Linked DNA regions of Mus musculus. The protein of the gene in region 7 interacts with the protein of the main gene of each other region in a pairwise test. Links are inferred from orthologs where the notes say so. Each region holds a gene or a part of one and is shown on either strand. Other genes may lie near its edges.

The links.
Region 1: the proteins of Agtrap (region 7) and Mief2 interact in binary tests that used the Homo sapiens proteins (3 or more experiments, as listed by UniProt). The two-hybrid records come from large-scale screens. The link is inferred for Mus musculus from reciprocal best matches to the Homo sapiens genes AGTRAP and MIEF2.
Region 2: the proteins of Agtrap (region 7) and Pimreg interact in binary tests that used the Homo sapiens proteins (3 or more experiments, as listed by UniProt). The two-hybrid records come from large-scale screens. The link is inferred for Mus musculus from reciprocal best matches to the Homo sapiens genes AGTRAP and PIMREG.
Region 3: the proteins of Agtrap (region 7) and Txn2 interact in binary tests that used the Homo sapiens proteins (3 or more experiments, as listed by UniProt). The two-hybrid records come from large-scale screens. The link is inferred for Mus musculus from reciprocal best matches to the Homo sapiens genes AGTRAP and TXN2.
Region 4: the proteins of Agtrap (region 7) and Pitpnc1 interact in binary tests that used the Homo sapiens proteins (3 or more experiments, as listed by UniProt). The two-hybrid records come from large-scale screens. The link is inferred for Mus musculus from reciprocal best matches to the Homo sapiens genes AGTRAP and PITPNC1.
Region 5: the proteins of Agtrap (region 7) and Nkg7 interact in binary tests that used the Homo sapiens proteins (3 or more experiments, as listed by UniProt). The two-hybrid records come from large-scale screens. The link is inferred for Mus musculus from reciprocal best matches to the Homo sapiens genes AGTRAP and NKG7.
Region 6: the proteins of Agtrap (region 7) and Tbrg4 interact in binary tests that used the Homo sapiens proteins (3 or more experiments, as listed by UniProt). The two-hybrid records come from large-scale screens. The link is inferred for Mus musculus from reciprocal best matches to the Homo sapiens genes AGTRAP and TBRG4.

What each region holds. Positions count from the first base shown.
Region 1 is NC_000077.6:60,726,898-60,731,386, reverse strand, and holds the start of Mief2 (mitochondrial dynamics protein MID49), read right to left. Parts: upstream 2,990-4,489; 5' UTR 2,820-2,989; intron 2,725-2,819; exon of another isoform or gene 2,661-2,724; intron 1,105-2,660; 5' UTR 1,099-1,104; coding exon 952-1,098; intron 758-951; coding exon 595-757; intron 472-594; coding exon 1-471. Other genes in the region: Flii (protein flightless-1 homolog), read left to right, coding at 4,198-4,260. UniProt on the Homo sapiens protein: Mitochondrial outer membrane protein involved in the regulation of mitochondrial organization.
Region 2 is NC_000077.6:72,040,774-72,045,545, reverse strand, and holds the start of Pimreg (protein PIMREG), read right to left. Parts: upstream 3,045-4,772; 5' UTR 3,012-3,044; intron 2,530-3,011; 5' UTR 2,497-2,529; coding exon 2,209-2,496; intron 566-2,208; coding exon 288-565; intron 1-287. UniProt on the Homo sapiens protein: During mitosis, may play a role in the control of metaphase-to-anaphase transition.
Region 3 is NC_000081.6:77,922,331-77,926,332, forward strand, and holds part of Txn2 (thioredoxin, mitochondrial precursor), read right to left. Parts: intron 2,337-4,002; coding exon 2,213-2,336; intron 1-2,212.
Region 4 is NC_000077.6:107,232,891-107,236,892, forward strand, and holds part of Pitpnc1 (cytoplasmic phosphatidylinositol transfer protein 1), read right to left. Parts: intron 1,613-4,002; coding exon 1,457-1,612; intron 1-1,456.
Region 5 is NC_000073.6:43,435,549-43,439,003, reverse strand, and holds Nkg7 (protein NKG7), read right to left. Parts: upstream 1,867-3,455; 5' UTR 1,701-1,866; coding exon 1,544-1,700; intron 1,468-1,543; coding exon 1,321-1,467; intron 1,230-1,320; coding exon 1,095-1,229; intron 966-1,094; coding exon 907-965; 3' UTR 758-906; downstream 1-757. Other genes in the region: Lim2 (lens fiber membrane intrinsic protein), read right to left, coding at 3,295-3,356.
Region 6 is NC_000077.6:6,615,806-6,619,807, forward strand, and holds part of Tbrg4 (FAST kinase domain-containing protein 4), read right to left. Parts: intron 3,909-4,002; coding exon 3,751-3,908; intron 3,306-3,750; coding exon 3,192-3,305; intron 2,800-3,191; coding exon 2,655-2,799; intron 2,404-2,654; coding exon 2,158-2,403; intron 1,825-2,157; coding exon 1,713-1,824; intron 1,618-1,712; coding exon 1,503-1,617; intron 910-1,502; coding exon 808-909; 3' UTR 1-807. UniProt on the Homo sapiens protein: Plays a role in processing of mitochondrial RNA precursors and in stabilization of a subset of mature mitochondrial RNA species, such as MT-CO1, MT-CO2, MT-CYB, MT-CO3, MT-ND3, MT-ND5 and MT-ATP8/6. May play a role in cell cycle progression.
Region 7 is NC_000070.6:148,081,171-148,085,172, reverse strand, and holds part of Agtrap (type-1 angiotensin II receptor-associated protein), read left to right. Parts: intron 1-1,179; coding exon 1,180-1,214; intron 1,215-2,796; coding exon 2,797-2,902; intron 2,903-3,414; coding exon 3,415-3,610; intron 3,611-4,002. UniProt on the Homo sapiens protein: Appears to be a negative regulator of type-1 angiotensin II receptor-mediated signaling by regulating receptor internalization as well as mechanism of receptor desensitization such as phosphorylation.

The DNA.
Region 1 (4,489 bases), on a different chromosome or scaffold from region 7:
CCTTCCGTAGCAGCTCCAGCAAGACTCGGGAGGAGAGGTAGCCCCCCACCAGGAAGCGGTCCCATGGGCTGCACCCACGGGGATGAAACTCAAGCTGAGTCCTGCGTACAGCCCAGCATCGAGGCTCCCTGGCCACAGTGTCCACGCCAGGTACCAGGCTCCATAGCCCCGGCTCCAACTCCAGAGGCGCCAGCAGGCGCACGTGCTCAGCAGTCCCTGCCTGGAGCCCGTCGTAGAGAGGCCCACCCGGCACGAGTGCACCAAAGGGCAGTTCTGGGAACTTGCTCCTCAAGTAGGCCTGCAGCTCCAAGGCAATGTCTCCAGCCAGCTGTTTCGCCAACGTCACGTGGGCTTCTGGGGTAATCACATGCTTGCGCTCGAAGGCCAGCAGCCTCTCCTGGAACGTCAGGCACAGGGGTGCTATAGTGCTGAACTTAGGTGTCGTGGGAGAATGAATGGGCGTGGGCTCCACTGCGGAGGGAAGCATCCAGGAGAACATATTAGAAGGCCCCACAAGTTAAGAAAACTCGACCTGCTCACTAGCTGGGCATGTGCAAGGGGCTCACCACACTAGAGAGAAGCAGTGTAGCTCACCTGGCACAGAGGGGGAGGGGGACCCAGTAGCTAGGGGCTGGCTGAAGGCAGCAGGAGGGGGTTGGGGCTTTTGGGGCGATGTGGCTCTCAGCAGGCTCAGTTCCTTCCAGCTGTCCCCCTTGGTGTCATCCTCATCTGGAGGGCTGGTGGCCCTGTCGATGAGCTATAGGCAAAGTGACACAGATCAGAGCATCGGGGGCCATGGCAAAGCTGGGGGGAAAGCAAACCAGGAAGCTAGGGTGAAAAAGTAGGGGCCCCGTGTTCCAGTCCAACCTCAAAAGTCCCACCGTCCCCCAGCTCCCCAGTCTGGCCTTCTCCTGTGGAGGTTTCAGGCAGGCCTTGCCCCCTTGGCCTTACCCGCTTTACAGCCAGGGTAGCAATGCCCAGCACTGCAGCCCCGCCCACACCTAGCACCAATCGAGCATTAGCCAAGAGGAAGTCCACCACACTGCCCAGGCCCTCGCTGCCGCTCTGTTTCCTCTGCTTCTGGGAGAACTCTGCCATGGTCACCTGCAAAGAGATGTAGTTCGTAAGGCATAGATGCTTAGCAATGACCAAGAGGGTGGTTTCTGGGGACCCGTGAGAAAGGGGCTGCTCAAAGAGTTTCTTGGAGGGAATCAGGGGACCTGCCAGCCCCCTCCCTGAATCCTGCAAGCCTCCAAGCCCTGGAAAAGGGTTCATATAGGAAGGATCCAGGCCTTTCTCCTGACTCCACCCCAAGACCTTGGGAATCTGGGTTCAACATCACCACCCTGAGTCTACAAAGACAAAAGTTGCCAAGCCACAAACTGAGTGCTAAGGTCTGGGATTCACAGCACAGCCCCCAGACTCTTCCACTCCCAAAGCCTGAGTATTTTCCCCATGCCTCCTGGTCGAGTTCCCTCACTCCTAATCAGAACCTACCCAGAACAGCCATACTGTGTGAAAACCAGTCAGGAGGAACCCAAAGGCCCAGAAATACTTGTAATATGGGTTTCCAGAAAGTTTGCCTGGGTGGGGCCTGTCAGACCTTTGATAGACCCTTAGCAAATTCAGGAATCTAGATAGTGGCCCCCCCAGACCTTGACAAGAAAACTACCTGGGCTAGGGCAACCCCATCAGAGCCAGGCTGAAGGCCCCAGGGTGCAGTGGTGAGTGAAGTAGGCTTAAATAAACACTGAATCAGGACAAGCTGGCCAGGGCCCATGGACTCGGAACAAAGTTGGAGAGGGTAAGAAGGTGAGAGAAAGGCCCGGAGCCAAGGGCTTCTGTTTATTTGTACGACCGCACCAGTAAGGACTGGGAAGTGTGTGACTGGCCCAGTCAGGAACTTGGGAAAAAGTCACAGAAATCCACAGGCCCAGGCCACTAAGCCAGAAAGGTCATTGCCTGCCGGGGCACCAAGGACTTCAGCCCTTCTTTCAGGGCCATGGTTGCCTTGGGACTCAGTTGCCAAGTGACAAGATGCCTAGAGTAGCTGAAGCCTTAGGCACTGTGTGACTCAGCTGAGACACCTGTCCATGCTCCCCAGACTAAAAATAAGACCCTGTCCTCGAGCCTGGTAAGGTCAAAGGGCAGCCAGGGAGCCTACTCCAAGCTCAGAAACAGCTCTGCTCTGTTACTGCCCACCACTGCCCTCAGAGCAGTAAGCCACTCTGCAAATGGAAGGGGCTTGCATTCCATCACCTGTCTAAAGTGGGACTCAGCCCTACACCTAGAGGGGTCTTGTATTCAAACTCCAGTAAGAAAGGAATAAAATAGGTGACTAAATATAACCCACTTAGGCCCTATGTGGTGGTGCAGGCCTTTAATTTCAGCACTGAAGAGGCAGAGGCAGTCAAGGCAAGCCTGGTCTACACACTGAGTTGGAGGATAGCCAGAGTTACATAATAGAGCCTCTATTCAAAACAAAACAAAAATAACAAAATAACCCGACTCTTGACAGCCTGAACTTCACCTGTTCTTACATTCTGGCCAAAGCTGATTGCTTCTGATCATGACTGAGCAGAAACGTGTAACCAAATAGGCTCTTAGACTCTATTCAAGAGCGAAGTCACTGTGGCCCTGGAAATCGTGTGCAATACCCAAGTCGGGAAGAGGCACCGCTGGGATTCGAACTCTGCTCTTCAGTTCCCAAGTCCTCCCTCCCACCGCAGTGACCGCAGGCCACGCCCCCACCTGCCCCGGGATGCGCGCCACGCCCAGTGCTGGGAGACACCGGGCCACCCGGTGCGCTGTAGCCGTACCTGCGTCCGAGCGTCAGCGCATGGACCCAAGGACAGGGCGAGTAGGACCCTGGAGGCCCAGGACTCGCCTAGGAATGGAACGTTCAAACCCCGGGAACCGAACGCCGAGGCCCGAGGCGGCAAGTGACCCGAAAGGCACGCTGGATAAGCAGGCCTTCGCTCCAATCCGAGCGCACAACTCCTGCGCACACGTGCTCAAAACGGAGCAGCTCAGCCAATGATCGCCAGGCACGCCCCGGGACCGTCTGGGGCGGAAACCACAAGCATACTCCGGATTTAAAGGCGCAAGGTTATATTGATAGCGCAAGGGGGGCGGGGGAGGTGGTGAGTGTGACAATCATTCAGGGGCTTGTCTAGTTTACTTACTTTCGGGTGTTTTGTTTCTTGAGAAAGGGCCTCACACTAAAGCCACAACTGACATCGAATTCTCAGCAGTCGTACTTAGTCTCACATCTGACCTTGTGTGTACTTGTAATGAGAGCCTCAGTGTGGAGTCTGAGCTCATGGTCCCTTGGTGGGCCAGGCAGACAAAACTGCAGTTAGCCCAAAGGCCCACATTCTGCCTCTCAAGTTCGCCCCTGTTAGAGTGCCTGGTGGTTCCATTTCCGTTTGGCCTGCCTGACACATAATGGGAAAAGAGCTCTGCCATCTGTCGTGGGAACTCTATCAGTCTCTTCCCTCCTGAAACCCGGGATGCCAGACCCTGGACTTCCATAGAACAGCTGTGTCTGTTTATGGGAAACCTACTGTATGCTGGCCAGGGCAAGATGGCCACTAAGAGCTTGGCCCAGGAGATATACACTGATCTAGAGCACAAAACAAATCAATAAAGAATGGTGACTGGAGTCCTGATGCCAAGGGAGAATTGTGAGTGTTTGTGCAGCCTGCTCTCTAAGCTGCCACATGTGAGTACTCTGGCAACTTTGGGGACCGTGTTACACATGATCAAAGTTGAGTCCTGAAGCTGAAGGATTAGGTCCCAAAGCCCCGGAAGTCTCACCACTACCACCACCACCACCACCACTGATCCCTCACACACAAACTGCCTGTGTCCCTGACGTTGTTACCACCATCACTCCTGGGTCACGGCCAGCCCCAGAGGCTACAGCAGCCCAAGCGACAGTGCCTGGACCCCACCCTCCACGTTCCGACAGGAGACTGGAAGTGTTGATCATCTCCAGCGGGACCCCTACAGGCCTCCCCAGAACTCTGGTCCCAGGGAGGCCTCGCAGCTCTGGGAGTCGCCTAGCAGCACTTCCCGCAGAGGCCGCGGCCGGGAGGCGGCGCGCGCGGGTTAAAGGGGCGGGGCCGGCGCTGACCCAGCCCGCGGCTCTCGGCCGCCCCGCGTCCTCCCTGCCCGTAAGAGAGCTGCGCCACCATGGAGGCCACCGGGGTGCTGCCGTTCGTGCGCGGCGTGGACCTCAGCGGCAACGACTTCAAGGTTAGCTGGGGGAGAAGGGGAAAGGCGACCCCTAGGCCGTCTCCCCGGGCCGCTTCCTCTGCGCTTCCGGGACCGGCGGGCGGGGCGGGCGGGCCTCCGCGAGTCTTCCCGGGCCTGCCCCGCCCGGGGCGGAAGACCTGGGCGGGGGCTCCGGGGGTCTGGGGCCGCGCGGGATTTGAGCCCTCAGGCCGCGAACCGGACCCCATGCCACCGAGGGAATACGCCCTAG
Region 2 (4,772 bases), on a different chromosome or scaffold from region 7:
TGGGCAGTTATTTTATAGCTCGGTGAGGGCTGCTGCTGGTCTTGCACCTGGGCCTCGGTCTTCCAGATGTCTCCCATCTAGGAGGGAGTGATACTCATCTCCTATTCCTTTTACAGCTAAGCAAACTGAGGCTCAGAGATTTTTTTTCCCCCTCAGGTCCTCACCAGCTTTGGGGCAGACCTGGGCCAGAACTAGGATGTGACAGATCAGGGCATTCTCGTCCCAGGTGACTGAGGAGACTCGTGGGACAGAAGGGGAGGTCCTCCTGGGCTCAGACGACTACTTGCCTGGGAGAGCAGAGAGGTTCTGTGGAGGAACAGGGGCTCCGGAGGGCAGACTCCCTCCTTAGCCGCTGACGGCGATGGGCATGCGGACCCATCTGGCCAGAGAGGCGAAGATGTCCCCCGACTCTAGCATCCCGGTTGGCCCTGCATAGCCGAGTGTTCTTCTGGCTCAGACTGGGTGGTGGTGACCCTCTGTCTTTCTGGGCTCCTCGCTTCCTTCTCACTTTCACCTGTGTCTCCATCAGCCACTTGGTGCCACTCTGACAGGACTCCTGGATCCTCTGTGATGGGTTCATGTGAGAAGGTTGGCACAGATAGGACCAAGGTGGGCTACCAGGCTCTAGCCATTCTTCCAGCCCAGGGCTGGCCCCACAAACACAGTCTGCTGTTACTAAGCAGCAGCAACAGTAAGCCAAGAGCAACAGCATGACTCCCCATGAGATGGTACTCTCCTCCAAGACCTTCCTGAGATCCAGTGTGGTAACTCAGCAGGTAGCAGCAAGACCACTCTACATCTGAGCCCCCAGGCAGAGACTAACTCAGAGAGTGAGGGAGGCTCAGTTTTCTGGATGCCAGCTCTGGATCCTACCTTAGTCCTATTCTTTCTCTTCCCTCCTCCATCTCAGTCTAACATACTTCAATGACAGGTCTGCTCATAACACTTAATTGCTCTGAGCCCTTCCATGGCTCCCAATAATCTACAGGGCTGAGTCCCAACCCTTGGATCTTCAACATGTGGCTGGGTCAAACAGCCTTGCTAGATTGTCTTTGCCTTGGCAAACCAGAACCCAGAAGTTGGAGCAAGGCCCGAGATAAGTTTTCATGAGTTGGGTGACCTTAGACAAACTGTCACATTTCATTGTTCTGAGCTATAGCGATGTTGAAAGCAATCTTAGGGCTCTTCCAAGTCAGAGCTAGACTTTGGCAAGGAGACCTCTCTGTGGAGTCGTCAGAGGCCTCTGCTCTCTCCCTACACCATCAGAATGCCAGCAAGATGCCAGGGGCCATTCCCCCTTCTCTTCTTAGAGGTCTGCTCATTCTCATAGCTTCTGTCCTGTCCAGGGGACACCTGCCCACATCTCCAGCTCCAGGTTTAAAGACCTAGGTGGGGTCAACATGATATCGTAACAGGTACATCTTCTTGCCACCAAACCAGGCAACTCGTGTGATCTCCAGAACCCACACGGTGGAGGGAGACCTTATTCCTTCTCTGACCTCCAGACAAGTACCACTGCATAAGCGCTCCTCCCATAGATAAATATTAAAACATTAAAAGAAGATATCTGCTCGAAGGCTCTTGGACACACCACACACAAACACCACCCCTCAAATCTGCCTTCTGAACCGCTCAGGAAGTTGCACCCTTTCTGCAAGCCCCGCTCCTCTGCCTTTTTCTACCAAATAGTTGACAGCTAAGGTGTAAGAGTGTGACTGGGAGACTTTAAATGGGGGTCAGCACACAGGATCACCTCTCTCACTATACTGACTGCTTAGCTTCACACTGGGGACTCTTCTCTTCAGCATCCACGCTGGACTCACTCACAGCATCCCACTGGCCCTGTGCCTACATACACCTCCCCTTTCCTGAGTGATCTTGGAAGAGTCACCTATTCTAGGAAGTCTTTATCCACTAAGCTTGAGACTGGTATCTCTTTATAGATAGCCATTTCCTGCAATTTTCTATCACAGGACATGGCAGGTCACCTTGCATGGGGAACACCAATTTCTTCCATGACTTTATTCACCTACTGATTTGTTGGGAAACTATTATGTGCCAGAATGACCGGGGTTCTGGGAAAATGGCAAGAACCTAATCAAACCCCAAGACCCCATGGAGTCTATATTCCTGGGGTCTCCCTGAGGATAGGGACAGTCAACACCAAGGACGCTTCTGTAAACAGACGGCTGGTGGTGTCATTGTTACCTGGGACATGGCACCCAAGGCGCTTTTGGCTGAGCGAGCTGCAGCCTGAAGACCTTGCTGCTCTGGCTCTGGACTTTCCAGGCGTTTCCAGGAGGGGCCGTTACCGAGGTTCAGGCTGACCGCTCTCAGAGGCAGCCTCCTTTGGAATTGTCTGCACAGGGAGCCCAAGGGACCGGTCTCCGGATGACCCCCAGCAGACCGGGTCACCTCCTTCTTCTCTAGCTGTTCCTCCTTTAGGAGTGATCGTCTGCGCACAGAGGTCCTCATGCCCTGCCACTGAGACGCCATGTGCTTGGTCCAGTTTCCGCTGCCCGCTAGATCCTGGGGAGGTCAAAAGGTCATCAAAGTACTCCCTGACCCCATTCCAAGGCTCCAGGGACCTTGGGAACTGGGAAAGAGATGAAGTGGAACCTCGCGGGGTAGGCCTGTTGGGCAATTGTGGATGCCAGAAAGATGACCAATGGCATCATGGTCAGCAGCTGCCTCCGTTGCAAGGCGGCAATTTGTCCGTCTTTCCATCCTAGCCTATTCCCCATAGGCTAAGTGGAGTGGCACACAGGTCACGGAGCCTCGGCGCTTACGCAGGGCACCAGCAGTATGCTGTTTTCACAAATTTTCCTCTCCGGAGCAGATTTAGCAATCCAGCCAAGGCCTCGGATCCGATGGGGCGTTTGCAACTCCTAGACATTCCCTTTGTCTTGTGGGTCCTATCCAGAGCTCCTGACCCGTTCCCCATTCAGAGCTCCCCGTGAGACCGTCCCCCACCCCCCTCCTTAAGCCCCTCGGTAACCCCGCATGCTCACCTCCCTGCTCGATACCCGGACCCGAAGATCAACACCCTCTCCTAGCCCACCGCAGCCGATTTGAAACTCCGCGCGGCCCCGCCCCGCCCCGGCGCTTGCAGCCCATTGGCCCTATCAGCCATCCACCACCGCCGCCCCGGATTTCGATTGGTCTTTTTCTCTCGTGACTGTAAATCCTGCTTTGGGATTGGCCTGGCCACGCCCATACATCGTTCGTAGACCCCCCACCTGGCTCGCCGCAGAGGGGTCCAGGTCGCCACCGGATCACTGTTACCGACCAGCCCGCCTCCCTACATCCCGGCTGCTTGGTCCCAGGCGACCGCGCCTAGTCCATCGTTCTCCCAAGCTCTCTTCTTCAAGCATGCAGGTCAGGGTGCAGGATGCTGCGGGGGTTCAGGTCACCGCCACCCAGGGCACGCGCCCCTTTCAGTCCTTCACCCCGCCTAACTTCTCTCCCACGATAAGTAGTTTTGTCAAAGCGATAGGCTGGGACTGCCGAGCTTTGCGATCCCTGGGAAGTTTTGTTTCAAATTCCCCGCGTAATTCTCTTCCTTCCTGCGAGATGGCCCTGCCCCTGTCTGTTCCTCAAACAAACACCCTGCTGGCGGCGCCCAAGAAAGCACATCTCAGAGGAGGGGACAGACTGTAGATCACCCTCTCCACAGTTAGGTCAGTTCCTCTGCCGGGTCTTGCTCTACGCATCTTTCAATCTTTCTTTCCTGTAGTCTGCCAGCAAGCTAAAAAAACAAAACAAGAAACAAAGACGACGACGACAAACAACAGCAACCCAGGCTGGGTCACTTTCTCCCATGCTTTCATTTTTATGGTTTTGACTTTTTTTAAAAAAAATATTTTTATTTTTAATTATATGTCTCTGTGCATGTAAATGCCTGTGGGGTGGCGTGGTGGCGACACAGAAGAGGAAGTCAGACCCTCTGGAGCTGGAGTTAGAGGTGGTTGGTTCTAACTGGCCACACTCAGCCTCCCCAAGATTGAAATCAAGGGGCCTGGCGTGCCACCACAATGGGGCCTTCTTATCGGTCCTCAAAAAAGAATTTCTCTTCTCCCTCCTCTCTCCTTTCCTCAGCCTGGAGTGAGACTCCTAGAGACTCTTCAGGCCTCTTCCTGGTGTCAGGATTGTCTGACCCTCTCCTGACCTCAGTGTTTACCTCCCAACCCCCTATAATAATAATGGTTGATTTGTGTGTAGCACTTGCAAACACTCCCTTTCTATCAGCAAGCCCAGTTTATCCCCAGTGCTCTGCAGCTCTGTGAGGTAGCTGGGGTGTGGAGAGACTGGCCGTACACTTCACTCACTAACTGTAGCAGGGTGAAGGACCCAAAGGCCATGCATGCAGGGACGTTGTCTGTGTGACCAGGGTTGACCCCCTCACTGTTGCTCCTCAGACCCCACCCTTTTCCAGCTGGGGTCTCTCCCTTGACTCCTGAAGCCAGCACTCTTCTGGGTCCTGTCACCTCCTGCTGGCTGCATAAAGCCAACAGAGCCAAGACACTGGTTCCCTGCTCCCCCAAAGTCTCTCTAATCTCACCAAGGGGAACTTGTGACTTATTAAACTCTGTGCTTTCTTCCTTCTTACACCCATGGGTCTCAAGTTCAGCATGTGTAGAGAGACAAGTATTTCCAGACCAAATCTCCAATAATCAATCAGAGAACTGTACCGTTATCTAAACGTGAGACCTTGACAATGAGCTGGCTAGGCAGAGGATATGTTTGTAGGCATTTATCTTTGTGACTGTGTG
Region 3 (4,002 bases), on a different chromosome or scaffold from region 7:
CGGCCCTGACAGAGTGTCACTGTCGGCGCCCAGAAGCTCCTGTTCCAGTCTGTTCTGCTCTCCCAGACACTGGGCCTCCCAACCCTGCTCTTCCTTTCCCCCAGCCATAGCCACAAAGAACCTCTCTTTCTTCAACTGCGGTGGTGGTCCAGGGCCCACAGGAGACTGCACCACCCCCACCCCCACCCCCACGGTCTGTGGCCAGCCCAGGGCCTCTGTCTGCCCTGCCTAGGGGCTCTTTCCTGAGACACGTAAGCTTCACTCGCTGCTCCATTCAGGTCTCTGTTCTCACGTTACTTCCTCTGAGACGAGAGTCCTCTGAAAGATGTGAAGGTGCGTGCCTGTAAGCACTGCCCTTAGAAGGTGGCAGAAGATCAGAGATGCAAGGCCATTCTTAGGTGGTGACGCCAAGGCCAACCTGAGCTTCAAAAGATTTTCCCTCAAAAGGCCAAATCAAAGAACAAAAAAAAAAAAGGAAAACGAAAGACCTCCTCCACCCCTCCCCTCCCCGCATTTCCTCTCTCCACAGCATCCATCAGAATTTGGACTTTACACAGACGTCATTGGCTGATTGTCCCCAAGCCAAAAATCTGAACACTGGAAGCCAAAGTGTGTGTCCGTGACTGCTAAGGCCTCTGAACTGGGAGCCCATACTTGAAAGCACCGAGTGGACCATGTCCCTCGGGCTAAGTTCCACTTGCTGCCCGAGGCTGTAAACACTGTGGCTGGAACATGCTGCGGCCTTTACTTTGTCCTGTGGCTGGGGACTTCAGAGAGGGCTCAGCCCTCACTGCCCTGAAAAGCCTCATGTGTCTGCCACTTGCCCCTCAGACACTCAAAGCCCTTTTTCAAAAGAAAAAAAAAAAAGAAAATTGCAAACTTGTTTTTTAACTTTGATATTGTTTATTTTAATGTTTTGTTTGTTTGTTTTTCAACACAGGGTTCCCCTGTGTAGCTCGGCCTGTTGCTCTATAGACCAAGCTGGCCTTGAACTCTCAGAGACCTATTTGCCTCTGCCTCCTGAGTGCTAGAATTAGAGGTATGAGTTACCACAGCCTGGCTGTATGTGAATATTTTTACTTATTTAAACTTCAAAAAAGTTTATGGGTATGGGAATTTTGCCAACAAAGGCCAGAAGAGGGCGTCTGAGCCTCTGGGACTGGAGTGATTGAATTGAATCCACGTCCTCCAGAAGAGCAGCCAGTGCTCTTAACCACTGCGCCATCTCTCCCACCCCTCAACTTTCCTGAATGCTCTTTGGTGCGGTCAGAGTGTGTTTTGTTTTGAAATTTCCCCTTTATGTGGGTGCTTTGTCTGTATGTCATGTCAAATACACCTTGGGGATGCTACACTAGGGGAGGCTTGAAGAGAGCCATATCCCCTGGGGCTGGTGTTACGGATGTTTGTGAACAGCCATGTGGGTGCTGGGGATTGAACCAAGGTCCCCTGAACACGAGTCAGTGCTCTTAACTGCTGAGCTATCTCTCCAGACCCAAGCTCAGTGTAGTCTGCTGCCACTTCCTGCACGTCAGGCAAAGGATGCCCACACACACAGGCCAATCCCTTCCTGTCTTCCTTGTTTTTGTAGTGAGACTTAAGGCACCATTCTGGCTCCTTCAGGACTTGGTGTCCAGCTCTCTTCTTCTCTGCACCCTTCACTCACAATTCAGGTCAGAGGCTCTGGAATGTGACACTTTCCCCGTCCTGGCCACTCCCTCAGAACAACCTGCAGTGTGTCTCTTTTCAGACAACTTTTCATTTCAGGGTAAAATGATCATCTCGCAACAGAACAAGGGACACCTGGGGACACGGGTGTCCCCTTCTGTCCCCTTAACTCGATCACACATGCCAAGGCTCATAAAGCAATGGCTGGAAGCCAGTGAGGTGGACAGGGCAGGAAGACCTGAGAGGATGGCTTGTAGTCAAATATGGTGGACACTCCTATAACTCTAACGCTCGAATGGCTGAAGCAAGAGTATCCGGAGTTCAAGGACAGCCTGCATGATATGAAACCCTATCTCAAAAGAACAATGACACAGGAGGACCTAGTGGTCACATAATCCACTTCCTGAGGGTGTCTGTGGATCAACAGAGCCACGAGCGCAAAGCCCCGAGACCTTTGAAGAGCTCCAGAACAACAGCAGACACGTCACTTACTGGTCACAGCGCACCTGCCTTGGCTTCCCTGAGGCAACGCTCTGCCAACACCTACCTCATATTCAATGGCAAGGTCTGTGTGATCGTCAATGTCCACTTTGGCCATGACCACCTTCCCGTGCTGCTTGGCGACCATCTTCTCTAGCCGCGGTCCTAGGATCTTGCAGGGGCCACACCACCTTTGGAGGTGAGAAGGGACAGTCAGCCCTGAGTGCTCGCTGCTCCACATTTCTCCCCAGAGCCTCCCCGGGCCCCACATGGATTCTGAGGGGGGAATGGAAGGGATAGAAACCCAGGAGCGTCTGCAACGGCCAGCCTTCGTGCTGGAACCTTCTCAGAGCTAGGCAGAACCTTCAGAGACAACGGCCCCTGACAGAACCAGGGCATGTGGAGTTCTTACAGATGACAGGATGGCAAGCACAGCCTGGCAATGGGGCGCAGTCCGGTAATTCCTGAACTCGGGAGAGGGGTCTCTGGGCATGCCCATGGAGGGTTATTCTGATGATGTAAACCAAGGTGGGATAGAGCCACCAGCTGTGGGTGGGTGGGTGGCTCTGAGCTAGGATTCTGAGAAGGAGAATGTGAGCATGCAAGTTAGGTGCTTGCCGCTGGGAGCCTACATGCTGGGAGAGTCAAGTCCAGAGGGCTAACCTCCAATCTCCACATGCATAACATGGTACGAGCATGTATGTATGCACACACATGATAAATAAATGTTTAAAAAGAGGGGTGTGGGAGGGGGAGCTGGGGAGTTGAGCACAGCAACGCTTTGCTTCACTATGGATACAATATGGCCAGCTGCCCCAAGCCCCCGCCACTGTGATGGACCCTGCTTGCAACTGTGGCCAGCTCCTTTTCTCCCTTAGGTTTCTTTTGTCAGGATATTTTGTCATAGCAACAAAAAAAAGTAAACCAAGACAGGAAGAAAGAGGAACAGGAAGTTGAGGCTAGCCTGGGCTACATAGTGAAGCCCAGTCTTGTTTGATAAAACAAGAGAGCCAGGATCACCTCAGGATTGCTAAAAGCATCTTTCTTTCCTTTTTTTGGGGGGGGGGGGAGGAGAGGGATGGAGGTGTTGGTTTGGAACATGGTCTCACTCTGTAGCCCTTGTCGGGTTGGAACTTGACTTGTAGACTAAGCTAGCCTCAAACTCAGAGATCCACTTGTCTCTACTTGCTAGGTGCTGGAATTGGTTTTGTTTTGTTCTTCAAGGCAGGGTTTCTTTTTTTTTTTTTTTTTAATAAATTCATTGTTTTGTTTTGTTTTTTTTTAAAGATTTATTTATTTATTGTAAGTACACTGTAGCTGTCTTCAGACACTCCAGAAGAGGGAGTCAGATCTTGTTAAGGATGGTTGTGAGCCACCATGTGGTTGCTGGGATTTGAACTCTGGACCTTCGGAAGTCAGTGCTCTTAACCACTGAGCCATCTCACCAGACCAAGGCAGGGTTTCTCTGTGTAGCCCTGGCTGTCCTGGAACTCTCTGTAGACCAGGCTGGCCTCAAACTCAGAAATCCACCTGTCCTTACCTCCCGAATGCTGGGATTAAAGGTATGTACCACCACTGCCCAGCTAAACAAAGGTTAACCCTTTTTTTTTTATTTACTTATAAATTGAATTTATGTGCACTGGTGTGAGGGTGTCAGCTCCCCTAGAACTGGAGATATAGACAGTTTGTGAGCTACCGTATGGGTTATGGGAACTGAACCCAGGTCCTCTGGAAAAGCAGCCAATGCTCTCAACCGCGGAGCCATCTCTCCAGCCACTAAAATTGTTTTTTTGTTTTTGTTTTTTTTTGGTTTGTTTTTAAAGATTTATTTATTTATTATATGTGTGTACACTGTAG
Region 4 (4,002 bases), on a different chromosome or scaffold from region 7:
CACCATACCATCCTGAGACAGGGTTTCTCTGTGTAGCTCTGGCTGGCCTTGAACTCAGAGATACACCCGTTGCTGCCTCCTGAGTGCTGGGATTAAAGGCATGCACCACCACCACCTGGCTCTTTGTTTTGTTTTAAATACAGGGTCCTATCTATCTATCTATCTATCTATCTATCTATCTATCTATCTATCTATCTTTGTAACCCCGGATGGTCTTGAACTCACTATGCAAGTGAGTATAAATTTGAACTTCTGTTTTCTCTGCTTCAACCTCCAGAGTGCTGGGATTAGGGTGTGCACCACCAAAACTGGTTTCTGGAGTACTGAGGATGTAACACATGGCTGTGTGAGTGCTAGCCATGCAATCTGTCAACAGAGCCACATTGCAGCCCCTGGGACAATTGGGAATTATTTATGTGTCTGTTTAAAATTTTATTTTGTTTTTACTTTATTAATTTGGTCTTATTTGAGACAGAGTTTTTCTGTTAGCCCTGGCTTTCCTGGAACTCAGTCTGTAGACCAGGCTGGCCTTGAACTCAGAGAACCACCTGCCTTTGCCTCTCAAGTGCTGGGATTAAAAGCATGCATCACCACTGACCAGCTGTCTAAAATTTTATAACATTTATTTATTGCTGTGTGCGCACACGCTCATGCAAGCCTCAACACTTGGCTGGAGGTCAGAGGATAAATAACTTGTGGGTATCAGGTCACTCCTTTAGCATGTGCATTGAACTCAGTTGTCAGGCTTGGCAGCAAGTGCTCTCACTGGCCCAATTATTTATCCTTATGTAAATGAGAGCAGTTACACAGGGCTCTGCTTGGCACCTCCTGTTCCATTATTTTAGAGTCATATGGAAGAGTCCTATTTAAGACCTGGAGAAAACTTGTGCCATCAAATTGATTTCTGCCCCCAAAGTTAATCTGTTTTCCAAAGCGAGGGCCTGGTTAAAGTCTGCGCTCTGGGCTTGGTCATCATCCTTTAGCGAGGGGACAGTGGAGGGAGAAGCGTTGGGCCCACTTGGAGCTCTTGTTCTGCCTCTGGGGGCCTCTTCTGCTTACGGTGCCTATGTGTGCAAGTTCTTCCAAGGGGGAATTATCCCTGGGAGCTGTACCCAGAGATAAGCCTTCTGGGCTCTTGCCCGGTGTCCCTGTCTGAAGGTAGATTAACCTAACTGGCAAAGCAGGACATAACATTCTGTGAATCCAACTTCCCAAATATACTCATCTGGTAGATTCAGAGGTCAGAATGAGAAATGATCTGTAAAACTGCTACACAGAGTAGTGGGAGAAAATTACACCCTTGTAGAAAATGCATTTTCACCTCTAAGTATTTTCTAGATATAAGTACTTGGTACCATTTCAGCATTGGGGCACTGGGCAAACATTCTATCTCCTACCAGGCAATGATGGCAATCGGGACCTTGTCCACATCCCAGGGACCAGGTCAACAACCCACCTTGTGCACAAATTGTTCCACTCGGGTCTGAAGGCCCCACACCTCGAACTTGACGGTGACCAGCTTGTAGGAGCACATGATGGGTTGATGGTTGTCTCGCCAGCCTTCTCTTAGCTGCCCTCGGCCTGTCTTCTCAGACTTGAAGTGTTTAGGATCCTAGAAAAGACACACCAAACAAGCCGGTATGTTAATACTTCATAGCGTGCGTGGGGCAGCACAGGCCTGTAACCCCAGCTCTTGGCAGGCAGAGGCAGGGTGGTCAGGAGTTCAAGACCACCTCAGTTATATTGAGTCTGAGGCTAGCCTGGGCTACTTGAAACATTGTTTGTTGTTGTTGTTTTAAAAAAAAAAAAGCTATCTATATGAAATGTCCAGAATGGGCAAAATCCACCTAGACAGAAAGTAGGCCATGGTTACTAGGGACTAGGAACAGGGAGGACCATGGAGACTACTAAGGGGAGCACTGATGGGGCTGAAGAGATGGCTCAGAGGTTAAGAGTGCTGACTGCTCTTCCAAGCAATTCCCAGCAACCACATGATGGCTTACAACCATTTGTAATCGGATTGAACACCTTCTTCTGATATGTCGGAAGACACAGCTACAGTGTACTCATATACATATAAATCTTAAAGGGGGGGGGCACTATTTCCTGGGAGGAGCTGGAGAGGCTTGGGAAATGCAGGTAAATACCCTTGCCATGCACGCTTGAGTGCCCAACTTCCATTCCTGGAATCCACATAAAAAGCCCCATGGGAGGCTTGAGAGATGGCTCAGCTGTCAAGAGCACTGATTGCTCTTCCAGGGGATGTGGGTTCGATTCCCAGTCCCCACATGGCGGCTCACAACTGTCTGTCACTCCAGTTCCTGGGTACTGACACCCTCATACAGACGTGCGTGCAGGCGAAACAATACACATAAAAACATTTAAAATGACATTAAAAAAAAGCCAGATGTGGTGGTAAACATCTGTAATCCCAGTATACTTATGGGGAGATGAGACCAGTAACCTATGCAACTGAGGTTGCTGTACAAATGGAGAAACAGAAGACCAAGCAGGTAGGAGGGACAATGGCCTCCTGAAAGCTGTCTACTGACTCTATGCTCACACACGTATGCACACGCACGCACACATGCACACACATGCAGGCTTAAAGAAATAAAGCTAATAGCCTGGTCTAGCGATGGTATTCATGGTGGAAGACATCTTTATGCACAATCTGAAACTGTATCCCTGCATGGCCACTCAGATTTAGCTCGGAATAAATGACCTCTTATTCCGGTTTCACACTGACAAGGCAGGGCCTCTGTCCTTCCTCTGTTGCTTCTCTTTTGAGAGTCTGTCTGTGGCACTTGTCAGCTGAAGATACAACTACATACAACACCATGCTGGGAGGTGGCTCAGATGGTCGAGCGCTTGCCAGCACTCATGATGTATTCTGCAGGAGCAAGCAAGAGCTCTAACCACTGAACAACCCTGCCAGGACATCATTAACTTTCCCCAAGGCTTCTTTCTCCCTAGCTAGCCCTTCTTTTTCTGCCCATCTCTCCTATTTTTTTTTTCCCTTCAGGAGCCTGTCATGTGTAGCCCAGGTGTTCTGGTCACCCCCCACAACATTGTGACCCTTCTGGAGCACGGAGGGTTCTCCTAGCTAAAGCTCCAGCACACCATGGGCATCCACAAACCCAGTTCTTTACACCACTATGGCAAAGCCTTTATGCCATCTCTCCAGTCTCAAGGTATGATTCTTGATGGCTCCACACACACACAAAAAAAATTTAAATTATAGTAGGCTATTATGAATCAGAGTTTGGGGAGAGGTTGTATGTGAATGAGAAGTCTACTGTATTACCACAGCCAGAAGGTAAAGTCTGTAAAAGCTAGTAGCTCGTGTGTTAAGGTCAGAGGAAAATCCAGGACTCAGTTCTTTCCTTCCCCGACATGGATTCTGGAGCTCAAACTCAGTTCCTCAGGCTGGGCAGCAGGCGCCCAGAATAGAATGTCCTAAGTGGACAGTGATACTCTGGTTTTATGTCCTCAATTTACTAGACAAAGACACCGAGACTTGTGAAAAAAAAAATCAGATATTTCACCTGAAGATCACACCAGGCCAGTGTTCTTTCTGCCACATTTACTTTCAAAATTAAATAGCCTTTTTTTTTTCCTCTTTTTTAAACATAACTCAGTCCTGAAGAATCGATTAACAGTTGGGCTTTGTATGGGAACAGGATGTTCCCCACCCAAGACTGGTGTCATATCTATAGCTGATAATTTCGTCTAGTAAATCTCTAATGTGGCCTATAATTAGAGATTCCCGTTCCAAGTGCTGGAGAGAGGTACAGAAGGAAGGCTTCCACAAAGATACCTTTGATCCAAACTCTGAATCAGATGTGAATGGACAGTAGTGAGCCAAGAAAAGGTGCTTGTGTGTGTACACATGTGTCTACGTGAGTGTGTGTTTGTGCATGCATGTGTGTGTGTACCCATATAAGCCAGCAGGTATAACTTGACTTAGCTTAGACACACACCATACGTGCAGGTGAAGGT
Region 5 (3,455 bases), on a different chromosome or scaffold from region 7:
AAACCTTGCCTCAAAAAGTGTAAGAGAGTTTGAGGATGTAGCTAGGTGATCAAGGGCTTGCCTTAGCTGGCAGGAGGCTCTGCATTCCGTCTTCTATGTTTAACCAAAATAATAGTTGCTAAGTGTCATATCTGGTTAAAAAAATGACATGCCTGGGCTTAGTTTTTTTTCCCACATCCTCAGGCTGTGGCTGTCATCTGCCTGTGTCAAAGACTGGTGGTTAGAGCTTGGGCGTGATGCATATCAATGTCCCCAGAGTGGACCACAGAAAGAGAAGAGGGGAAAGGGGGGGGGAAGAGAGAGAAATCTAGTAAGAGAGGTCATTTGGTGAAGAAAAGAGAAAGATAGAAAGAACGACACTAAAGACACGAGAGAGACACCCAGAGCTTATGGCCACCCAGGGCAGAATATGCTATAGGTAGGCAGGTCTGCCTGCATAGCTCTCACCCTCCCTGAGAGATCCTGTGCCACCCACCATAGGCTTATATATGCATGACTTAGGTGCTGGGGATGCAACTTGGACCTCATTCATGCTCAGCAAGTCTCTATAACTGAGCCATCATCCCAGCCCTCTTGTTTAGCTTTGTACCTTGAGGTAGGGTCTCACTACGTTGCCTTAGCTGGCCTTGAACTCTCTATGTTGCCCAGGCAGACTTTGAAGTTGTGATGCTCCTTGCTCCAGCCACCTGAGTAACTGGGATGAGAAGCCTGGCTCGGTTTATGTCTTGGCTAAACTGATCTTGGAACAATAAGATCTCAAGCATGCTTCTTTATTGAGTGTGTGAAGAAACCAATGAAGGATAAGGCAAGGTGGGAGGGACAGAGACAGAATTCTGCATTCCTTTTGTAGCTCCTGAGAGGACAGGCTCCAAACATCCTGATGACCCTGCTGTCCTTGGCTGCTGTTCACAAGGTTTCATACTCAGCCCGACGGGTTCTACAGTGAGCACCCAGGCTCAGGCAGCCTGGTGTGGAGAGAAAGCGGGGGAGGGGGAGGGGGGCAGGGAGCAGAGATTAAGTACTTGAGTGCCCTGCACTGCCCTGCGCCAGCCCCCATCGTGGTCCTCCCCCAGGGAGGTGGGCTGAGTAGTCACCTGCAAAGAGGAAGAGGATGAAGGAGACCCAGCCTAGGTAGAAGGACCAGGAGAAGAATGTCTGGACTTGAGAAAATGGAGTCTGGCTCCATCTCATACTGGTGTACACTGCCATAGCCACTAATATGGAGAGAGCTGGGGACAAGAACAAGAGACAGCTGAGCCAGCTTGGCCCCTGCAGGATTCACCAGTCTAGGTGTCCCAACAGCCCAGATCCCATTCATACCTGCAGAAAAAGCCATGACAGTTGAGACCAGAGGGCCACGGCCGGGAGCAGACAGGGCTGGGATGCAAGACAGAACCAGGAAGCTCACAGACACCAGGCCCCACAGGACAGCCAGGATACAGAAGCTCTGTGTCACATGGATATAACCTAAGGAAGATGATGTTTCTGAGTGTCTGTTTCCCACTGGACATTCCCACCACCAAAGAGCCCATTGCCCCTTTACCTGCTACTTGAGTCTCTTGGCTTGTTGGCCAGAGGCCAGAGTGGGCAGAGAAGTGAGGACCTGTGGCCACTATCCAGAAATCAGTGGTCAGAGCAATCAGAGAAGAAGTCAGGCCCAGAGAGCCAGCAAACAGGGCCAGGGACCGGCAGGGCTCCATGGACACAGCTCTGGGTTTCCACTTCTTAGGGGACAAAGACACAGATGACCCAGACTGTTGGCTCTTAGAAAAAGAAAAAGGCCATGCACCCGAATTCCTCGTCTTCTGAGCCAGAGAAGCAGCTAGCAAGCAGCGGCTTTGTCCAGGAGTCCTCTGTCTGATCTGATTCTTCTCACACCTTCCCTACCCCCTCCCTTCCTGAGTGGTTTGGCCTCCCCTCTTCGATTGGCTCCTCTCCTCCTATGTGGTAGGGGTGGGCCCTGCAGAAGCCTTTACTTGCTTGCAGCTCTGGGGGTATCTACCCTCGTGTTCTAGGTAGTGGTTTAGACTGTTGTCACAGGTTCTGCACAGGTTCTCCACAGTTGGAGACAACTGGTTTCCTGGAAGACCTTGGGGGTGGGGTGGGACTTGAGGGGGTGCCCAGAGGTGGGAGGTGGGCTAATCATACTAGGGTGTGAATTAACTGAAAGGGGAGATGTGGCTGAGGAAACAGTTGTGTCACACTTTCCTGTGGTTTTTACACTCTGAGACTCTAGCATTAGAGTTTCCAACAGTAAAGGGGCAGTGGGGTCAAAACACCAGTCCCATAGGAAGAAGGACTTGAGTCGGTGGGAGCAGAGATTCCACATTCCTAGTCAAAGCTTCTGTCCAGGACAGACAGGATTCCAAAAAGCTTGAAGAGGAGACGACCTTCCCACATCCTCATCACGCAGATAGAGGGAGAAGTCATCACACCTGGGTTGGACCCTCCAGCATAGGCGTCTTAGCACCAAGATGAGGGTGTCTGGGGAAGTGGAAGACAAAGTGACACTTCTGGGTCCTCTGCCTCAGGTCCTCCAGTAGTGGGCAACAGCTCCTCTACAGGCAAGCACAAAAGTGTTTCCGCCATCTCTTGATGCAATGACATAGGTCTGCCTCCCCAACACTCAAGAGATCTGAGGCTGAGGGATCATGAGTTTAAGGCTAGCTTGGGCTCCATGAGACCCTGTCCTTCCAAAAATTAAAATAAAACAGAGAGAGGAGTAGAGCTGTGTGTGCTGTCTCGGGTGAAGGGGCCAATCCAGGGACTGGGGGGGGGGGTAAAGAATTGTCTGGAGCATAGGTGGGTGAGGAGCAGGTAAGCTTTGTTCAACCTATTATCCTAACGTCCATTTCTAGACATTAAACCATGGCTATCTCCTAGGTAAGGAGCCATTTGTCTTGTTCTCATCCCTGATAATGGAAGAATGAGGCTACCATATCAAACCTTCTTGCCCCGCCCTGCCCCAGTCCGATTCTTACCAAACCAGCCCTTTGAAGAAGCACACTTTGACAGTTTCACATCAGTTTTATTAGATCACCAAATGTCTCTCTAAAGGAGCTTCCATTTTCTACCGCCCCTCAGGGCAGGTGGGGGCTTATGTCTTCTCAACTCCCTCCCACTTGACCCTACTTTTCCTCCCCACACAGGACAGAGGGATCAGGGGCTCCCTATCTAGAATCCAGGACTGAGCCCCCTCATTCCCTCAGGAGCCAGGACTTCCGGCCTCTAGGTCCTCCCCTTCCTCTTCAGTGCCCTCACTGTAACTTCCAGCTGCAAGTTTTACCCCAGGGCTCAGCGTGGGGTGGCTAGGCGCCGGCACTCATGCATCCGGTAGGCACACATGTAGAAAATTCCTGTGTGGACAGACATCTCCATTGATCCTTCAAATCCTCTTGGCCTACCTTTCCAGCCCAAAAGACTCCTTATTTCCTCCCTCCCTCAAGGTCACCAGA
Region 6 (4,002 bases), on a different chromosome or scaffold from region 7:
GGTGCTTTGAGGAATGTACCAAGTAGGGTAATAACCCCCTTTGTTGCAAGTCTCCCCTTTGGGCGAGCCTTATCTATGGGAGACTCCTGCAGAGGGTAGAAGGTAGACATCCTGCTGCTACTCAGAGCTGCAGGGGACCCAGGGCTCCACCTGAAGGGCGGTCCCTGGGTTGGCTGTAGTAGTCATGAGAATGAGTCTGGCCATGGATCTTGTAGCATCAGCCAAGTGGACTTTACTCTTGTCCCAGAACTAGGGCCTTCCAAATGTCTTCACAGCACCTGTTCCCTTCAGATGTTCTCTAGTGGCACGGGGGTGCGGGGGTGTGGGGGTGGGGGGTGGTGTGGGCACCTCTCAAGATAGTAATCACAACTCTGCTATACACTCCAAGTACATTTCCCAGGAAGCTCAAGTGTCCAGGACCCTACCCATTTAAGTCTCAGTTTTCTGTCTCTCAAGTCAGCCCTGCTCTGCTGTGCCACAGCACACAGGCATTATGGGGGAGCTGGGGAAAGAGAGCCCACTCGGTAGAATCCTGGAGAGCTAGGGAAGAGGATATGTATGTGTGTGCAAAATACGAGAGAGAGGAGATAGATACAGAGCCTGGGAAGATAGCTGGCTTCCACCAAACCAAAGGATTTATTAGGACCACCCGTTCCTTGGAGATGCTGAGCACCCCCTACTCTGACCACGTCCTACAGACACAGTTAATCTCTCTGATGTTGGATGACAACTCTGGCCTGCCCAACACTCACTGCTGGGTCCCTGAGCAGTCAGGTCTTTGGGAGCAGTCTGAACTGATGGGTAAGGTCATTTGGCTAGCTCCTCAGCCATTGCTTTTCGCATCTTGTCCTTGAGGTAGGCGCTTTTCTGCCATTCAGACTTCAGATCCAGCCATTCATAATATGGGACCTGGAAGAAGGTAGTAGAGACAGGTCACATGGACTACGGAGTCTTTTCCTGCCTTTACACGACCAGTGGCCCTTCCCACTCTGTCAGTGCTGCTGACTGACAGCTTTAAACATCCAGTCCTTGGCCTCAAAGTCTTCAGGAAGAGTGCAGAGTGTGAGGCTATGCACACAGAAAGGTCCTCTGGCTCTGGCAGGGACAAAGAGGTTGCAAACCAGACAGGTCCCAGCAAGGCTACTCAAGAAAAGCTGATAGAAACTTTATGTAGCCCTCAAAGCTCTGAACTTTCTCTCTGGAGGAAACTAAGCACTTGCTGTGATCTGAGCACTGAGGTATCCCTGTGCTTCAGCTCCACAGTCACACAGCAGCAGTCAGTTACAGGTCTGAGCCCTAGTTCCAAAGGCAGAGCAAGAGGTCCCACGGCTGGGCAGCACTTCCGGTGTAATGTACCCACAGGAGGCAAGCCAAGCTTGTGTGTGTGGAGTGGTGTGGGGTAAGGGGAGGTACCTAGCTTAGGCTCCAGAGCTGGGTATCTAACCTATATGCGTCTAGGGGATTCTCCCTCTGCAGTGTCCCCTTGCTCAACAGGTACTCACATCTACTACCAGGAAGCCTGCAGCCAGCACATGTCGACGGGCCAGGACAAAACGGCCCAACAAGTCCTTGCTTCTGCTGTTGAAGTTGGGGAACTCCCAGCGCAGGAAAGCGATCCTAGCAGGAGAAAAGGGTACTTATAAAGCATGTTCCCAGGTCAACCCCCGCTGTATCCCTACCCAGGCCACGCCCAGGGAGCCCCGGCCACATACCTTTTAGCTCCTGGGGGCAATGGCTGGTTCCCCACTGGCTGGGCAAGGTGGGGAGCAACGAAGTTTCTTAGGGGCAGGAAGTGGCCGTCGGCATCCAGGAGCACCTCTGCATCTGCAGGGAGGGGACAGGGTGAGATGCTGTAGGTGATGCCTCAGAGACCCCACAGTAATCCGGGTTGTTGCTTGATATACCATGCAGGGTTACAAAGGCCCCTGTAAGACTTAGACCCTGGGGGCTGGAGAGATGGTTCAGTGGTTAAGAGCACTGATTGCTCTTCCAGAGGTCCTGAGTTCAATTCCCAGCAACCACATGGTGGCTCACAACCATCTGTAATGGGATCCAATGCCCTCTTCTGGAGTGTCTGAAGACAGTGACAATGTACTCACATACATGAAAAAAAGGAAGACGACTTAGACTTTTTCCCAACAGAAGGGGAACCCTTACCCAGCACCCAGCCATACTGTGTGGCCACCTCCAGGCTGCCCTTGTCAGTGTTCCCCAGCAGTGCCTTCAGTGTCTCCTGCAGCTCCTTCTGTAGGGGTGTCATCTTTTTATTAGAGGGTGAGGGGATGGGGGCTACAGCTGAGGCTGGCAGGAAAGGGCCTTTATATTCAGGGTGCTCCAGCAGGGCGGTGGTGTTGATGTGGACCAATTTCTGGAAGGTACTCTGGTCCTTTGGAGACTTGCTCTCTGGGAGGGAGAGAAAAAGGTAGGCTGATGTACAGCAGCAGATGCAGAATGGGGACCACAGGAGATACAGCAGTAGCTTCCACCCAGCCATGGGCTGGTGTTCCCAAGTTAAGATCGGAGGCCAACTGCAGGGAGTGGTGGGAAAAGGCCGGAGGTTGTGCTCTGGCCTTCTTCTGTCTCTGCTCCCGTTTCTTCCCTGGCGGGCAGAGCAGAGCCTCCATGTTACAGTAGAGTGCAGGGACAAGCCTCACCTAGAAACCGAGCGTGGAGTCCAGGATGGAGAACCGTGTGCAGCTCTGTCTCGTGCACGTGCTGCAGCACGCACAGCGCCCACACCAGGTCCACCTGCAGGGCCGGCTCCAGGCTCCCCAGCACGGGGTCCAGCTTCTCATGCACCTGCGCAAGGAGCACAGTGAAGAGCAGGCTCAGCCAGCGACCACAACGTCCTAGGGAAGTCTGCCGCCAACCTGTGGTCCTGACTGTCACACTCCTCGTGCCTGAGTCCAGGATCCTGGTGTTATTTAGCTACTTTACTCACACCTTGTCCAGAAGCAGAGACCCAAGGTCTCAAAGCCCTTGTGATACTCCCCAGTGATGAAGTAAGACTATTTCATCAGGCCATCTAGATGGTGATGTAGCTGTTTGCCCTGGCTGGTTGCTCTCAGAATCATACCAGTAGTTTACCCATTCTCCCATGTCAAATGTTGTGCCCACTCCCACCCCCTACTCCTAGACAGTGGCCTGAGCCAGAAGTCAGCATGTCAGGAGTGGCATTTCAGTGCTCATACCATGCTGAAGAACTGATCCTCTTCTTGTTCAGGATGAAAGTTCAGTCGGGCAAAGGCAAGAAGAACGCTGCACACATGGGACAGGGAGACATCCTGCACTCTGCTGAGGAGGTGCTATGACATTAGACGGACAAAGTCAGGGCCTAGCGGCCATTTCTCCCCTCTCCAGAGCTCCAACTGTTCAACCAGAGGCAGCTTCAGGTATCCAACTCCCTGATAGTGGCTGTAGAAGCCGTCTGACAGCTACAGGGTCACATGCACCCAGGCATCGTGCTTGCATACAATACTACTCAGAGTGGTCAGTAGCTGGGAGTACAAAGCTGCCCCCCCCCCATACAGCCATGGCTGCCCCAAGATAAATGGAACCAGGACACTCAGGAACAAAACAGGCAACTGCTAAATGTTTCCCCTCACTATTAGACATGACTTTCCAAATCAAAGTAAGAGAAATCTGTATTTACGACCCACAAACGAGTATTTTCAGCTTGGCTTTGCCTTCATAATTAAGCAGCAGTTCCCTACGGAGGCCTCTACAGATAACCCTGCGGTTCTAACTCACCTGAGTAAAGGCTTCAAACAAAGGCAGGTTGAGCCACTTGAGGAAGGCAAAGGACTTGGCGCAGCGGGCCACCTCTCCAGGCGTCATGCTGGGAATGAAGGGCAGGAGGTCAGCAGCCAGGCGCTGGGACACTTGGGTTTGGTGGAAACTGAGCTTCCCTGGGGAGGAGCAGACACCAGCGATCACCTATGGGGGAGGTCAACGTCCCACAGCCACCGTTCCACCCCACCTCAGACGTCACATCTAGGGGCT
Region 7 (4,002 bases):
CTTCTAGGGCGATGAGGGGATTAAAAACTCAGACCAGCTGGGCAGAGGCGGGCGGATTTCTGAGTTCGAGGCCAGCCTGGTCTACAAAGTGAGTTCCAGGACTGCACAGAGAAACTCTGTCTCAAAGACCAAAAAAAGCCGGGCGTGGTGGCTCACGCCTTTAATCTCAGCACTCGGGAGGCAGAGGCAGGCAGATTTCTGAGTTTGAGGCCAGCTTGGTCTACAGAATGAGTTCCAGGACAACCAGGGCTACACAGAGAAACCCTGTCTCAAAAAACCAAAAAAAAAAAAAAAAAAAAAAAGACCAAAAAAAAGGAGGGAACAAAACAAACAAACAAGAGAACAACCGTCAGATCAGAAACCAGGTCTACCTTTGCAAGCCCCTGAAACAAAGCCAGACAGAAAGCAAGCTCAGAACAGGGGTGGTTGATCTGGGCTTTGCAGCTGGGCTGTTGCTTGCCTTTCTGATTGGACCTGGTGTGCTGAGTCTCTAGTGAGTTCTGCTCCAGTTGGCCCTGGAGGCAGTGTAGGCAGAAGATTCGTGGATGGAATGACTTCAGAGTGAGGATCCCCGCCCCCCCCCCCCCCCCAGGTGAGGAGCACTGGCAAGCTCCTGCTTTCCCTGAAGCCAAGGTCCCCTTGGGATAGATGCTCCCTGTGTGATACACACACCATCTCCACCACCGAGAGGGCCTGCATTCCGCAACCAGCACCAGTGACCCCTGCTGCCCTAGCTTGTTGACCTTGTTTGGGGAAGAGAGTCCCCCATAGCCCCGCCCCTCCCCATCCCCCCGCTCTGGCTCTGCTCCATTCCGCCCTTCCCAGTTTCTCTTTGAGAAGCCTCTGGTCCCTCCCGCTGCACATTTCCAGGAAGGGCTGGGCCACTTGGCTCTCTTTCTCCCTGCAGCTTTCTTGGAAGTCCTATCACTGAGGGCTGATTATATTCCCATTACAAAGAGAGGGAAACTGAGGCATGAGAGGCTTATTCTCTTTTTTTTGTTGTTGTTTTGTTTTCTGTTGTTGTTTGTGACTGGGTTTCTCTGTGTAACAGCCCTGGCTGTCCTAGAACTCTGTTTATAGACCAGGCTGGCCCCAGACTCAGAGAGGCCCACCTGCCTCTTCCTGAGTGCTGTGCCTTTGCACTCACAGACTTATCCAACCCCTGTTTTTGTGCTACAGGTTATTCTCCTGGTTCACTGGCTGTTGACAACCTGGTAAGTGACTCTGGGTGTCTGGCTGTATCCACGTCTTCTGGCTGTGTGTTGTGTCACCTGGGGTCAGTGCTCCCGGGTCCTGTCTGCCTGGCCAGGTCCCATTCTGCACTGTTTCAGTCCATCACATTTAGCAGTTCGTTCGGCGCAGGGCTGGATCTATCTTCCATCTACACAGTGGGATAAGGACAGGCCCCTGCGGCAGTGCGTACTAACCAAGCCCCTAAGTGGGGCTCCAGGGTGCAGCTGCAGCTTGACCTCACTGTCACTTCGGTCGTGTGTTTGGAGCTGCCAAAAGCAAGTCAGGAAACCACTGAGATCACGTGTGCTTTGCAGGCTTTGAGGGGCAGTGGCCAGGCCAACTGCTGTAAGCGATGTAAACAGCAGGGAGTGGGGTGTCACTTTCCCTGCAGCTCCACATTGGTGACTAGGCTGAGCTCACACCTGCTTTCCCGAGACCGAGAAAGACTGGAAAACATCGGACCTCTTGGCCTAATTGCTAATTCCACTGTTCCAGTCCCAGCCCTGCTAATGGTCGGGTCCCAAAGAAACCCAGACAACGTACCCGTGGCCCCATCCAGTTCCCCCAGCATCACTCAGTATCTGTGGCCCTGCCCAGTTACCCCAGCATCACTCAGTACCCGTGGCCCCGCCCTTCTCACTCTGCCCCCTACCCTAACCCTCTCCAGCTCGCGATCTGGGCTTCCCTTCACCTAGCTTCTGATTCCGTTTTGGCTACCTGCTGTCTTTGTTCTGCCCTTGGCTCCTCTTCTGGACCACTCTATCTCTCTGCCCCTCTCAACCTCTTTCTTTCTCTTCCTCTGATGCTTTCCCCCACACCCCCCATGGCCTTACTCATTTTGCTGGCCATGCTCAGTCGGGATCCTTGCGGATACCTCTGCTGTCTCTCTCTCATATCTACAATAAAACCTTCTCCTCACCCATTCCTAGGATCGGTCAGTCCTCATGGTCATTCATTGTGCGACTGTGTGACCTGGTTAGTCACCTATTAAGTCGGTGACTTTGAGTCTGTAAAATAAGACTCGTTAACAACACCTCCCTCCAAAGAGCAGCTGTGAACCAATGAATTTAGAACAAGTGGGGCAGAGTCAGGTCCCAGGAAGTGCCCCGTGTTAACTGTGATAAGCCGGCTCTGCAAGCAAACTAGTAGGCAATGTCAGAGATACTCTGAAAACTTGAGCAGGGAGGAGCTTGGTCAGGCCTGCATGAGAGTGGATCTCTCAGGCAACGTTTGAGCTCTTAAGATGGCAAGAAATGGCTGCCTGTTCAGGAAAACGAAGCCTCAAGGGTGTAGCAGCCAGGAGGTAAGGGTGGGGCTCTCGTGGGAACCCCATAGACAACAGCAAAAAAGGTATCTTATTCCAAACCGGTGGGAAGGTTGGCTTGGAGGAGTCACATGATCTGATTCACACTGCCTGCTATTTCAATAACTGCCTGCAGGGGGCAGGAGTGACTATTCTCAGAGGAGGTTAAGACCCTGGAACAGGGGGAAGGAACTGTGTGGACGGGGTGGGCACCTCAAGTTGGTGACTAGCTGATTGATAGTGTGTGTCTCTCTGTGCAGGGGCTGCTTGGTGTTCTCAAGCTCCTATGCTTGGGGCAACTTCACTATCCTGGCCCTGGGTGTGTGGGCTGTGGCCCAGCGGGACTCTATAGATGCCATAGGCATGGTGAGTTGAAGTGGGGAAACTGGCCGTGCGCCCCTCGTCTGCCCGTGTCTTCTCTCTCCCTCATACCCGACCCTTTGCTGTTCTGCACATGGCAAGCCTAGCGAGGCCAGCCACACAGCAACCCACCTCTGCTGCTGTCCCCCTCCAAGACAGACATGGGGGAAGGTCACAGAACCCCAACGGCTCCTTAGGAGAATTACAAAGGGGGTTTTCCTTGTCTTCTTGCAGTGTAAACAGAAAGTATGGACTCCAAGGGACTGTCCCTCTCAGAAATTCTGGAGACAGGCCCCTTATGACCTCAATGGCAGGAGATGGGGCTGAGGAATTCTGGGGCAACAGGCTAGAGCCAGACTTGTATGTTGTGCTCTTAGGCCACACAGGTGCCAGTCACAGGCTGCCAGTCACCAGGCTGGGGTGTGTGTGTGTGTGTGTGTGTGTGTGTGTGTGTGTGTGTGTGAAGCTTGGGGTCTGGAGAGTCAGTGGCCATGATATTGTGATGGTGTCCCTTGCAGTTTCTTGGTGGCTTGGTTGCCACCATCTTCCTGGACATTATCTACATTAGCATCTTCTACTCGAGTGTTGCCACTGGGGACACTGGCCGCTTCGGCGCCGGCATGGCCATCCTCAGCTTGCTGCTGAAGCCCTTCTCTTGCTGCCTCGTCTACCACATGCACCGTGAACGAGGGGGTGAGCTCCCCCTCCGCCCCGGTAAGTCCTGCTCTACCCCGCCTTCCCCTGGTGGCCCTCCCTTGGCCCAGAGCACAAGGGGAGCCAGGGAGGTTTCGGCTCACAGAAGTGGCCTGGAGCCTCTGCCGCAGGGACATCTTCCTTCTGTCTCCAGCCAGCCCTGGCTCTGGGGGTGTGCTCTCCTGCCGTGTGGGGAACCCTGTGTGCCAACCTTCTAGCCTCTGGCCCAGCCCGCACTGTCCTCTCTGGTGGTGGGCCAAGCCACTGTCCTGCCCTCTCTGAACCTATTCTATGGGAGCTGGGTGTGGTCCCCAGGTAGCCAGTACTGAGCCAGTGCAAGAGTGGCCTATGGCTGCCCACTCTGGTTTATCTCGATGCTAACCTAGACCTGCCTGGTGTGAAGGGATGGGAGA